Linked DNA regions of Arabidopsis thaliana. The protein of the gene in region 2 interacts with the protein of the main gene of each other region in a pairwise test. Each region holds a gene or a part of one and is shown on either strand. Other genes may lie near its edges.

Region 1 (6,601 bases), on a different chromosome or scaffold from region 2:
GCTGTTGATCATGTTTTCCAGACTAATATGCTCGACATGCTTAAACAGACCGGAAGGTAACTAGTTCTTCTCTAAACCTATTTACTACGCTTAAGTGAGGTTTCCTATTTAGGTTTTGGATCTGATTCTTCTTGTATCTTGTTTCAGACCTGAGATGGTGGTTGGTTGGTATCATTCACATCCTGGATTCGGCTGCTGGCTTTCTGGGGTTGACATTAATACTCAACAGGTAGAGTTTTGTTTGCTCTGTTTGCATACTTATCAATTTGTGAATTGCACTTGAGAATTTGTTGTTTGCTTTATTGATGGCTCAAAAAACTAAATAGAATGTTACTCATTGTGTTCTATACCCTGTTGTGATTCACTTTGTATTATATATGTTCATTGTGAATATCTGTGTGCTTTTGTAGAGTTTTGAAGCTTTGAATCAGCGAGCTGTAGCAGTGGTGGTAGATCCGATTCAGAGTGTGAAAGGAAAGGTGGTGATTGATGCGTTCCGCTCCATAAATCCACAGACCATTATGCTTGGGCAGGAACCCCGTCAAACAACATCGAACCTTGGGCACTTGAACAAACCATCGATCCAGGTGATTATCACTAACTGAATGTGTCCTGTTTTTAAGTTGAAACGAAATCAAAGGTTTTCTCTGATACTGACTTTTGGATACTACTATGCAGGCTTTGATTCACGGGTTGAACAGACACTATTACTCAATAGCAATCAACTATAGGAAGAACGAGCTTGAGGAGAAGATGTTACTCAACCTCCACAAGAAGAAATGGACAGATGGTCTGACGCTAAGACGCTTTGACACCCACTCCAAGACCAACGAACAGACGGTCCAGGTAAAGAAACACAGGGTTATGTTTTTATCTGTTCAAGCATATTCTACAATCATGTTCATTGACATTTTCATTATCTCCTGTTTAACAGGAGATGTTGAGCTTGGCTGCTAAATATAACAAGGCGGTTCAAGAGGAGGACGAGTTGTCACCAGAGAAGCTGGCAATTGTGAATGTGGGAAGACAAGATGCAAAGAAGCATCTGGAAGAACATGTCTCGAACCTCATGTCATCCAACATTGTTCAGACACTAGGCACTATGCTCGACACTGTTGTCTTCTAGAGAGCTTACTTCTCCAGCCGCTTCAAGTCATTGAGCTTTGTTCTTCTGCATCTCTTTGGCTTCTACTGAATGTTCTCTTTTTATCTGCTAGCTTTTTACAAGGTTGTACTGTACTATGTGATTTCGTTCGTTAAGGGCAGGGATCGATTTCTATTTCTTTGCATATTATTTTCAGATTTTATTTTCCTCCCATTTTTAGATTTTATGCTGCAACTTTCAAGTTAAGTGCTTTTGATAAGAATATGCAATTTCCCTCCTGGATTAAGTCTTTAGCGTAACCATGACAATGAAACTAAAACAAGTGAAGTTAACATCTTAATTTTGTAGCAAACAGCAATAACATCCAAATCTACGTTAAGTTCCACAGCAAATATACAAAAAACTGTGCTAGGATTTGTGAAGACGTGAACTTGATGTAAAGAGGCAATTATAAGCCATAAAGGGCATGGCACGTTACCGGTGCATCAAACAAGTCCTGCTTTGAACACATTTGGAGGAGATTGACCAATCGTTCAGCCAGAGCATCAAGGTTTTGGAACAAGAAATCTTTGACCTGATGTGTGTAAACTGTAGCTTAAAACTCGGTGTCAAAACAAGTCATGAAGATCTTTGAGACCATGGTTCTTGCAAAAGGGATGTAGCTCAAGCTATACCTGCAGTTTTAAAGAACACAAGGGATTCATTCTCCAAGATGAATGTTGACAGCTTTTGTGACAAACTCAGAAACCGTATAAGGAGCATTAGGTCCACTCGGGATAATATACTATTCGAAGAGTATATATCATGTAATTGTATTACTAAGAAAGTTAGGATAAAAATGTAAGAGCTTGAAAGCAAGTTTTAGCATACCAAATTAGACCAGTGAACTCAAGAATGATAGCCAGCAGTGTCAGAAGCTTGTTGCGAACCTGTACAGAAAGATGATGACAGATTATATTTAGTCCAACAAGGCATTTTCACTACCTAGTTTTAACTGAACATAAGCAATGTTGTGCATCCAGTATTTTGAATTGAGAAACCCCACTTACATAAAGAGCACAAAACAAGGCAATGATAATGCTTGCTAGATACAATGCAGTAGCGTAGATACGAGCTGGGTCAAGCATCATAGTCACCTGCCGCTGTGGGCCTATAAGGAATGCTGTGCTGCCATACAAAAGTGACATGAAACTTAAAATCCAGGAACAAAGAGAGAAAAATGGAGAAATACTGTACACACAGAATTGCGACACCAATGCAATATAACAAGAAGCTACACAAAATTCCAATACGAACCTCCCGAGTGCCATCAAATTTCCCAGAGTGAATGTGATGCCAAACTTGACCGGATTAAAGAAAACAAGCATCGACTGCATCGTCAAACAAATAAGAGATAAAGAGTTATATCACCAGTAAAAGAGCTAAGACAACCCAAAGTACAGAAGAAGAATACAGCTAAACCAATCAAATGATTCCTTTCAATGCAGAAATAAGGATAGTGCTTTCTAACATTGCTAAGACTTGAGAGTTATACTTACCAAAAGTGTACAGGTCAAACCTGCTGACAAGCAAATTGCAAAGCCATAAAATCTCTGTTTTCATAAACAAAAAAAACGAGATATTAGCCAAAGACAAACCCAATTCAAGATAATTTAACAGATTCTTGTAAACGAGACAACACTACAGGTTCATAGAGGAGCTAAATCCAAGTAGCGTCCTAATTTTTTGTAGTAGCAAGCCAAAACTTAGTCCTATTAATCAAACTGTTATCATACCACATGGAATTTTATAATCCTTCTCCTCCAAAAAATCATAGAACTGCTAAACACTTATCTCAAAATCTCTTGTATGTTATTGATCACATCATATGCATTCAATAGGAACTCATTTACATTTCTACCTCAGTGAGCTTACGAGCCTAACTTCTCTAATTGGACGAATACCTAGTCCGCATGTGAAATTACAAAAATTACCAAATTCAGAGGACTTGATCGAAGAATCTGGGGAAGTTAAGAACCTGTTTGGTAGTTAAAGCGCAATTGCGATTAAGATCTTCCATGAATGAGAGCGAGCTTTCTTCATCAGCAGCTTGTTGCTCGTCTTCAACCTCCATACCAACCAACATCTTCATCTTCTCAATAGCCTGATTCATTTTATCCATCTCTGTAAGTCCTCTTTCTGTAGTCTAAGCTCTTTCTTCCTAGTTCTAGTGATCAGATCTCACGCTTCTTCTTCTCAAATTGTGACAGTAGAACTGAAGTATGGTTGGATCTTCTCTGCAAAATTACGCAATGTGTGAGACTGAAAAATGAAAGAGACACTTTTCTTCGTAGGAGGAGAAAAGAAGAAAAGGCTTTAGTTGTTGGGCTTATTTTAAATTAAAATAAACTTAGCCCAATTGTTGGATCCATTAAGGTTTTATTTTCTTATTTTAAAAATTTACACATCCATTAAGGTTTTAATTAAGGCCCTTTAATTAATGAGTGGTTGACAAAAATAATATGTCAAAAATATCTTGAACTTTCAAAAAATGCCAACAATCCTCAACTTTGCTTCTAATTCGCTATTTTTGTTGATTTTTTTATTTTATTTTACTCACTTAATTTTTGTTGACTTCCCATTTTAATAGCTATTTTTTTTGTTGATTTTATCAGATATAACATATTATTTTGTTTCTTTTCTTTATATCATACAACTATATGCAATTGATATATGTAAAAAAATAACTAGATTTTTTTCTATAAATATAAGATTAACTAAAACTGAAAGAAAATATATATTATGTTTAAACTAGGTATAGATATTTTAGGAAATTAACAATTAATCGAAAAATATAAGAGAGAATTAATGATATAAATCGTTTTGTTAATTTCTTCTAATAATTTTTTGAAATCTTAAGAATTTAAGACAATAACATTCTATTGTAAATAAGTGTCAAATCCATGATTTATTTCAAAAATATCTACTAAAATGTGTATATAGATAACAACTCCTCACACAAATAATTTGTAACATAGTATTTTTTTTTCTTGTTTCCTATATTTAAGTTGGTCAATTACTTGTGATTTATTTTTTTAGTAAATAATCTCGTGGTTTGTTTTCTAAAAATGTTTTAATCAAAAATATAAAACGTAACTGCCAATCACACAAATGATACGTAACACATTTTGTTTCGTTTATTCTATATAGGTTGGTCAATTATTTTGTGATTTGCTTTTAGTAAATAATCTTGTGATTGTTTTCTATATAAACATTTCAATCATATCTTTAAAACAATAATTTTTTTCGCTTAAATGATATATAACATATTATTTTTTCTATATACATATATAATACAAGAAAAGAATTTAATTATATTTCTCTATTATATAAAATTTTGTCAATTACATAGTATGTAACTTTTATAGTACATAATATTATGATTATTTTGAGTTTTATAAGTTATATATAACCTTAATACAATAATTTCAGTATGGTTCCATTGTAAACATTTTCAAAAAATGTAAACCTAACAAAATATAAGTAAAAATTATATATCTACTTTTTGTGCATTTTTAATAAGGTGAAAGTTATATTAAATACAAAAATAGCAAGACATGTTTACGTTGACAAACAAACAAAAATTAAGCAAGTCATGTTCGTAGCAATAAATTAATAGTGGGAACAATTAAGTTAAGCGAAAAAGGAAAAAAAAAGGTACAAAAATGAAAACAAAATCAAACTGAATGAAAATTTGGAGTCCAGAATCGGAAAAACGAGGCCGTTTTAGAGCTTAATAAGCTTCCTCATTTGTCTCTTCTTCGTCAGTTTATTTTCTTCCTCCGGAGTCCTGACTCACTACTCTCACTCTCCGGCGCTTTAAACTTACGTTCTCCGTCGTTTACTCTGTAAGTTTTCTGCCTTAGAGCCTCCGATCGCCTCACCGCATGCATTCTGTGCTCGATTTCTCTTTTTCTTCGCTGGAAAAATTGCCCTAATGTTCTCGATTTCGAAGGTTTTTGTGCTATGGGTTACTTTTTTCCCTATATTTTATAGTTCTTAGGTAACGATACCTGCGTCTTACTGTTTTTGTTCATTTTGTTGTGCTTTCACCGTTTAGTCGCTGATCGGAGTATTTGACTGTGAAAAATCCTTCGTTTTTTGGTTTTTGTTTCATATAAATCGGATTGATCTACCTTTTGTGCTTTGATGTTTGTTTTTTGAGCCTATGCGTTGTTGGCTTGTTATAACTTCACGTTCATGTGTGGATTTTGAGATTTTGGTAGTGACTGTGGGTTTCTTTGGTGGCTATAGGTTGTAAAAATGAGTTCTAGGGCTGGTCCAATGTCTAAGGAAAAGAACGTTCAGGGTGGTTATAGGCCTGAGGTTGAACAGTTGGTTCAAGGTTTGGCAGGGACGAGACTGGCTTCTTCACAAGATGATGGAGGAGAGTGGGAGGTCATTTCCAAGAAGAACAAGAACAAACCAGGAAACACTTCTGGAAAAACTTGGGTTTCTCAGAATTCGAATCCTCCTAGAGCTTGGGGTGGTCAGCAGCAAGGGAGAGGTAGCAACGTATCTGGGAGAGGAAACAATGTATCCGGGAGAGGTAACGGCAATGGTCGGGGCATTCAAGCTAACATATCTGGTCGGGGACGAGCGTTGAGCAGAAAGTATGATAACAACTTTGTGGCACCCCCACCTGTATCTCGCCCTCCTTTGGAAGGAGGATGGAATTGGCAGGCAAGAGGAGGTTCTGCTCAGCACACAGCTGTGCAGGAGTTTCCTGACGTGGAGGATGATGTGGATAATGCTTCTGAGGAAGAGAATGATTCCGATGCTTTGGATGATTCTGATGACGACCTTGCAAGTGATGATTATGACTCGGATGTGAGTCAAAAGAGCCATGGATCACGAAAGCAGAATAAGTGGTTCAAAAAGTTCTTTGGCAGCTTGGATAGCTTGTCGATCGAGCAGATAAATGAACCACAGAGGCAGTGGCATTGTCCAGCTTGTCAGAACGGACCTGGTGCCATCGATTGGTATAACCTGCACCCTCTACTAGCTCATGCGAGGACAAAAGGAGCTAGGCGAGTTAAGCTCCATAGAGAATTGGCTGAAGTTTTAGAAAAGGATCTACAGATGAGAGGCGCATCTGTCATTCCTTGTGGTGAGATTTATGGGCAGTGGAAGGGTTTGGGTGAGGATGAAAAGGATTATGAAATTGTCTGGCCTCCAATGGTCATCATCATGAATACTAGACTGGATAAGGACGATAACGATAAGGTGGAATTCTTCTGTCTTTTACTTCTTTAATTTTTCTCTTGCATTCTACTGATCTTAGAATGTTACATTGTAGTGGCTCGGCATGGGCAACCAAGAGCTGCTGGAATACTTCGACAAGTATGAGGCTCTTAGAGCACGCCATTCCTATGGTCCACAGGGCCATCGTGGGATGAGTGTTCTGATGTTTGAGAGCAGTGCCACTGGCTATTTGGAGGCCGAACGCCTCCACCG
Region 2 (6,650 bases):
TTTGTTTTGAGGTTCTAGTAAACACAAAAATTCTTGTTTTAGTAATGACAACTATTTTCTGTTTGTCCTATATTTTTTTATTTTATTTTCTGATCAAACATGCATCCTGTATATCTAAAATGTCAGAAAACTCAAGTGTCGTAATCACAAATCTTAGCAATGATTTTTCATATAAAAAATGTTACAAAAATCAATTATTAATTTATAATATTAGTGGGACCATATTTTTATATAAGATTTTTTAAAAAAATTATTATCTTATTATTTTATCGATTTTAGTTAATTTTTATATTTGTCCGATCTGGAACTAGCAAAATTTATTAATTTTTCTTGTTTATTAATTTATAAAATTTATACTGTATTCCTATCAATAACGATGAGTGCTACAAATGTGTGAAATGCGATTCAGATCTTCACAAAGTATTTGCTAGCCTTCCTTGCAAAAAATATTTACTGCACAACTATAAACTCATTCTACAACTTCTGTGAGCTAATCATATCCTATTACGAATGATCAATATAACTTTTACGACTAAGTAATCATTTCTATAGCTTTTTATGGTGAACGATTTTGTCGACGACTTTATAACTGTCAGTTCTATATGTACCACAAAGATTAACAATAGATGGTTCTACATGCTGATGGTAGACAATTTTACTCTTTTGAAAAATGAACCATAATGAACGTTAATTTTTGTCTTAATCTATTGACAAACGTAAAAGCATCCTCAACGGTGAGGCTCTCTGAAATGATCATTGGATTAATAGAAAATATTAATTTTATGATTTTCTTATTTAATTAAATTTATAATAATTAATTGAATTCCATCAATAGATCAAAACATGGTGAATCATCAAGAGACTCAAACATCCATCCTTTCACTGGACCTGCTTTTGCAACAAATACACCTCGTCTGGTTGAAATTGGTGAATCATCAAGGCAAAGTGAGAATACAGTGTCTGAGCACTTGATGGAAAAAGGGGATTCATCTAAGAGAAAGAATATGGCTGGTCCTAGGAATGAAGAAACTGTTAGGCAACACAAGCATCAAGATAAAGATCAAATGATAGGAGGTATTCTGAAACCTCCTAAAAAACGTTAACACTCTGCTAATTCTGTCAAAGTTTTTGTTTAGGCTGCAATGGAGGCAGCTTAAGGCGTATTGGTTTTTTGATTTAGGCTGCTTTGGTAACTAGTTTAGTTCGGCAGCTGTTGCTTTGAATAACTATGCGGATATGGTCATGTATTAATTTCTGGTTATGGCATATCTGCTATAGTTTCGTTTGCTTTGAGTTCAAGTGGAGACAGCAGCTCCTGGGTTGCAGAACGATGAGGATAGGGTCATTTTAAGACTTTTTGGTAATGACTTATCTGTTGTTGGTTCTGTTTAAACATGGAGTTCTTGTTGTTTTAGTTTCAATTCCATGTTGTAGTTTTCTGAATGTTGTCTTATGCTGTAGTGGAAGTTCCACTTTGTAACTTTTACAAAACTGGTTTGAATAAAAGGCAACTTATGAGAAAAAAAAAAAAAGATCAAAACATGTGGTAAGTGAAGTCTTAAAAAGTAAAGACACGGCTCTTAAACGAGAGGTTTAAAGTCGGTTGTTTCACGAGTGGGTCTCTCTCCATTTTTTTTTTTATTGTTTCAATTTTTCGAATTTGTGTGAGAGTTTTCTGTTGGAAATGGTCTGAGACATTTTTTTATTATTATTTTATTAATAAAATAGATAAATGACCATAAATAAAAATAAGAAAAAAATATTTGGATTGAATCAGCTTTTGTATATCTCTAACTAAGCTAAGTAGACTTTTTGTTTGACTTTGGCTTCTTAAAAAGTTTATATCTCATCATCCCGAAAATTTTATAGAACCAAAAGATGCTCACGAGTTGTAATCCTGATCCCATTGCCTGTAAAAAATAAGTCCACATATCATTAAAGTATCATATTCAAATTGAAAATTATGATATACTGAGAGATTAATCGACATAATATATATACTTTAGATGATAAAATCTATATTTTGGTTTGGAGAACAATACTTTTGTGTTACAAAAAAATTCACATATTAACAAAACAAATGGAGAAATTGATGAAATCAAAATATGTAACTAATGTAAAACCAAAGCAAAATTAACATATTATAAAATATGAAGATATCTTGTTGACGAAAATAATATAAACACAATTTCTTGGTAGTTGGGAAAGATGAATGAATAAATAAATACCTTGATGAAGATGGGATTATCAGCTGATAGACTGACGTAAACGAGGAAAGGTCCACACACAATTCTCGCCAATGTGAATATAGTGGCAAAACACACCTATCAATATCATCAGTTAATATAAAGCATGTCGGTGCTTAAGTTTTTAGAAGCTTCCTTCATACAATAAAATAGATTTAACTTTGACTTAATGAAATATTATAAATAAATCTAGAGAAGTAGATTTGGGTTTTACAGGAAGACCTAAACTAATAAATCTTCAACGTCAATTTTTTTTCTTTTTCTTTAATAAAGTGTGAAATTTATAGATCGAAAGATAGGTCTATGTACAAGGTAAAATGTCATAATCTAAAACAGGTATCTAAGCTATTAGAAGCAAAAACAGAACATAACTTAGGGATAATGCAGGTGTGACCATCTCTCCATTAAACAAAACGTCAAAAAAATTTAACAATTGCAATTGAAAGTTGCCATTCAATGGAATTAAAACCATAACGACCATAGACTTTTTTTTTCTTCATATCCAACGGTGGTCCCGGTTTTATACTATCCAACTACATAATAAGTATAGCCGTCATCGAACTAGTGACCTAGTGTAGACAGTTTAAGTCAAAAATACTCGATGATTGTGCATTATTCCATTTTCTAAAAGAATATACAATCGTTCTGTTTGCATTTAACTAGGAGTTGATGATGGAGTAAAGACTACATTAACATGTTTTAATATCTATCCATTTAAAACTTGTTTAGATCACACAAAAAGATGATATATGTATACTCACATCGGCAGCTAGATTGAGTTTGGTGTCTTTGTATCCAATCTCTTTGAGAATCTCCCTAAGGTGGAAAAAAGGACTTGATATCTCTGCTACCCACAGTGTAGCCACGATCTCAGATCCAGACTTCGAAACAATAAATGATACCAAAACTTAGTAACCACAAACTCTCATATATCTTCTAATAGTAATCATTGATTTCGAGACAAAAACAATAAAAATACCTTTTGGTATGCAAGTCCAGCTATAAAACCAAGAATGCTAACGAAATGATGAACCGCGTTATCAATGCTAAACACTTGATCGAAATGACAACATATTAGATCGTAGATCATGTACGACAACGAAAACGCCATCACGTCCATCTGTTGTGTGTTTTGTTTTATCACCAGTTTGGTTACAATGTGCAAAAAGAGTGATTATATATAGTTAAGTGAAGTGATGATGTGATTAATAAGAACCTGTTTATGAGATGGCTTAGAAGCAAGGGGACAAACAGGGCAAGACAAATCTTGAACAGAGAGTGTTGCTAAAGTGACAGCGATAGTCGCGTGAGCCGTGGAGAGAAGACGGTTGCTGAAGCTGAATGAGTAGCTTGAGAAGATTCTCCGGGTGAGAATGAAGGCCACACCCCATGAGATGACTCCAAATACTATTATCTTAATTGCTCTTACTTGTTCTTCCTCCATATGATCACTTGATCTCCTTTTTTCGCAAGCCAAGGCAAAATTTTGTTGTGATGACAAGAGAGATGGAGAGGAATAAAAACATTTCAGTGATGTTAGTAGACCGACATTATTGGTGGTATGTTAGTTGGGAATTTTGGGATTCAATGGTGTGGATCCCATACACATTAATGTTTCTGTTAAAAATTGACCTATAAAGATTTGATCCAAAGATTTTGGAATTATTTCGTCTAGCTCTAATCACCCAAGTTATTTCCTTTAAATGGTGATCATTTTTTTTGTTTCTTAGAGTATCTTAAGTTTTGTCCGAAAAAAAGAAAAAGAAAAAAGTATCGTAAGCAAGAAAAAGAAAAAAGTACCGTAAGCAGTAGACATTATGGGACGATTGGTAAGGGTGACTGTAAAGACTTTAACTTTAAAAATAGTAACTGTAGAAAGTTTGGCTGCAGAGACTTTGAATTTTAAAATCTGATCGGTAACAAAAGCTTTAAAAACTGTTACTGTTATTTATTTATATTTATTACTATTAAATATAAATGATATCAAAATTTAATTATGTTGTAACATAGTGACAAAACAAATATTTTATTAATAGTAAAAAAAATTAAAATACAAAATTTCTTAAATAAATATTCATAACAAACAAAATGCAAATCTATTACTCATTCATTTAAAATTTTAATAACCAAAATTTGCATTAAGAAGTGGGATAAAGTGAGAAAAATTATGGAGCTTCAGGATTATTATGATAAATGTTGTTTTGCTTCGTCAAATTATCCAAACGATTTTTCCCTTGTTTCGAACATAAATTACTTCCAAAATTATTATTAGTATTCTGAAGAATTCTTTCTTTTTGAATAGCACTTAAACCTTTTTTTGTTATTATTCAAATTTTAAATGACCAACATGAACCTTATATTGTTTTTGAAAAATGTTAATTATGTAAACTCTCTTACACTTACATTAATGTTGATGATGAAAATAAAATAATTATTAGTAAAACAGATCTTAAAAGAAAGAGAAAAAACTAATAATAATTAATTTAAGAAAAATGATTTGTGAAAAAAATAAATATAAACTTGTGGAGATTTTTAAATTATCATGGGGAAAAGAAAAAAGAAAGTTTTTAATTTTATTTTGTTTGAAAGCCATGTATTCCAGACTTTACAAAAAAGAAAAGAAAATAAAGAACATACAAAAAACTTAAGGCTATAAGAACTCATTGAAAAACTAAAGTAAAAAAAGCATGATTGGCAAAAATAAAACTTTGAAGACTTTAGAATACTCTCAAACCCTTGAAAGTTCTTGCCAATCACTCCTATGTGTTTATTACATATGGAGTGTGTAAAGAGACTAACGACCAACAACTAACGACCTCAAGACAAAAGCACTGCATATATGTCTTTTCTATAAAATAAGTTGAGGTCAACTAACTGTATTTTTATAAAAGTCGCTATAAGAAATTTGAATTTGTTTTTTTAGGTCGACGGAATTTACTTACTTCCAATTAGATTCTCAATCAAAAGCGGTTTAGAAATATTAAAAATTGACTATACAGTTATTCAAAATATCAAGTTATATTCGTTTTATCTTGTCGTATTGATCCACAACAAACCAAATAATATATTGGGTGAATTAAATTTCACTGCTCAGACGAATGCGAAATTAGGAAAGTATGAGTGATGATTTCATATTTAGTTCTCTCTCCTCCCGACAACAAATTCTGACATATTTGCCCCTACTCAGCAGAGATATTGTTGGATACGTAATGATTGTGCAACATTTAATGCCCCTGAAAAAATTATTGCTAATGTTTCTTACATGGAAATATATCCTTAACATAACTTCAACCCAAGTTGTTAGTGGGTAAGACATGTATATGAATTAGTATAAAAAGAATAATGATACAGTTTAGGATGAACTAAATGTGGCAATAATGTAACCGCTACAGAGCAGTTGGAGTCGCCGAAGCAGGACACAAGTATGAAGATAATTAGGTTAGTCGATAATAAGTTATTTGATATGGTATCATAGATTATATTAGAAGATAGTTGATAGAAGATAAGAATAAATAAGACTATGCCCAATAGTAGAAGACGATAACCAGATAGCAGATAATAAAGTTAATATAGTTGTAGGGCTTCACCACTCGTAATGAAATGTTGAGTTATTACACGTGTAGTGAGAGTACCGCAAAAATTCGTATACGGTAATAAAGTATCCGATAATAAATCCGTTAGGGGTTAAAACTTCAACACGCGCAATAAAATGTCGAGATATTACACAAAGTAAAACAATATGAAATGTCGAGATAATGAGATAGCAGATATTAGAGTTAATATATTCATAATAGAGTTAATATATTCACCGCTCGCAACACGTGAGACGAATTCTGAACCGCAAAAATTCGTGTACGGTAATAAATTATCTGATAACAAACCAATTAGGAGTTAAAACTTCAAAACATGCAATGAAATGTCGAGATAACGAGATAGCAAATAATAGAGTTTATATAGATATAGGTCCTCTCGCAATGAAATGTCGACTTATTACACGTAGGGAGAGTAAATAAAATGTAGAATTCTGAAGCGCAATGTCGGTAATAAAGTATCTGATAATAAATCCGTTAGAGGTTAAAACTTCAACACGCGCAATAAAGTGTCGAGATATTACACAGAGTGAAACAATATAAAATGTCGAGATAACGAGATAGCAGATAATAGAGTTAATATATTCATAACAGAGTTAATATATTCACTACTCGCAACACGTGAGACGAATTTTGAACAGTAAAAACTCGTGTACGGTAATAAATTATCCGATAACAAACCAATTAGGATGAAAGAGACGAAGAAAAAATATGAGGTAAATATAGATTGGACCGAAACGACGCCTCGATTGAAAACTATCAAAATAATATAAAATTTTGATTCACCCACCAAAATATCCAAAACAAGATCTTC

The links.
Region 1: the proteins of AT1G45010 (region 2) and AT5G23550 interact in a protein complementation assay, tested with the Arabidopsis thaliana proteins (one large-scale study listed by BioGRID).

The regions. Positions count from the first base shown.
Region 1 is NC_003076.8:7,938,214-7,944,814, forward strand, and holds AT5G23550 (Got1/Sft2-like vescicle transport protein family), read right to left. Parts: upstream 3,465-6,601; 5' UTR 3,267-3,464; coding exon 3,123-3,266; intron 2,698-3,122; coding exon 2,644-2,697; intron 2,476-2,643; coding exon 2,402-2,475; intron 2,273-2,401; coding exon 2,155-2,272; intron 2,035-2,154; coding exon 1,976-2,034; intron 1,780-1,975; coding exon 1,701-1,779; 3' UTR 1,384-1,700; downstream 1-1,383. Other genes in the region: AT5G23540 (Mov34/MPN/PAD-1 family protein), read left to right, coding at 1-56, 148-229, 411-587, 679-846, 935-1,126; SGS3 (XS domain-containing protein / XS zinc finger domain-containing protein-like protein), read left to right, coding at 5,408-6,370, 6,444-6,601.
Region 2 is NC_003070.9:17,011,714-17,018,363, forward strand, and holds AT1G45010 (TRAM, LAG1 and CLN8 (TLC) lipid-sensing domain containing protein), read right to left. Parts: upstream 3,808-6,650; 5' UTR 3,691-3,807; coding exon 3,463-3,690; exon of another isoform or gene 3,367-3,462; coding exon 3,226-3,366; intron 3,128-3,225; coding exon 3,008-3,127; coding exon of another isoform or gene 2,972-3,007; exon of another isoform or gene 2,325-2,971; coding exon 2,229-2,324; coding exon of another isoform or gene 2,142-2,228; exon of another isoform or gene 1,911-2,141; coding exon 1,800-1,910; 3' UTR 1,672-1,799; downstream 1-1,671.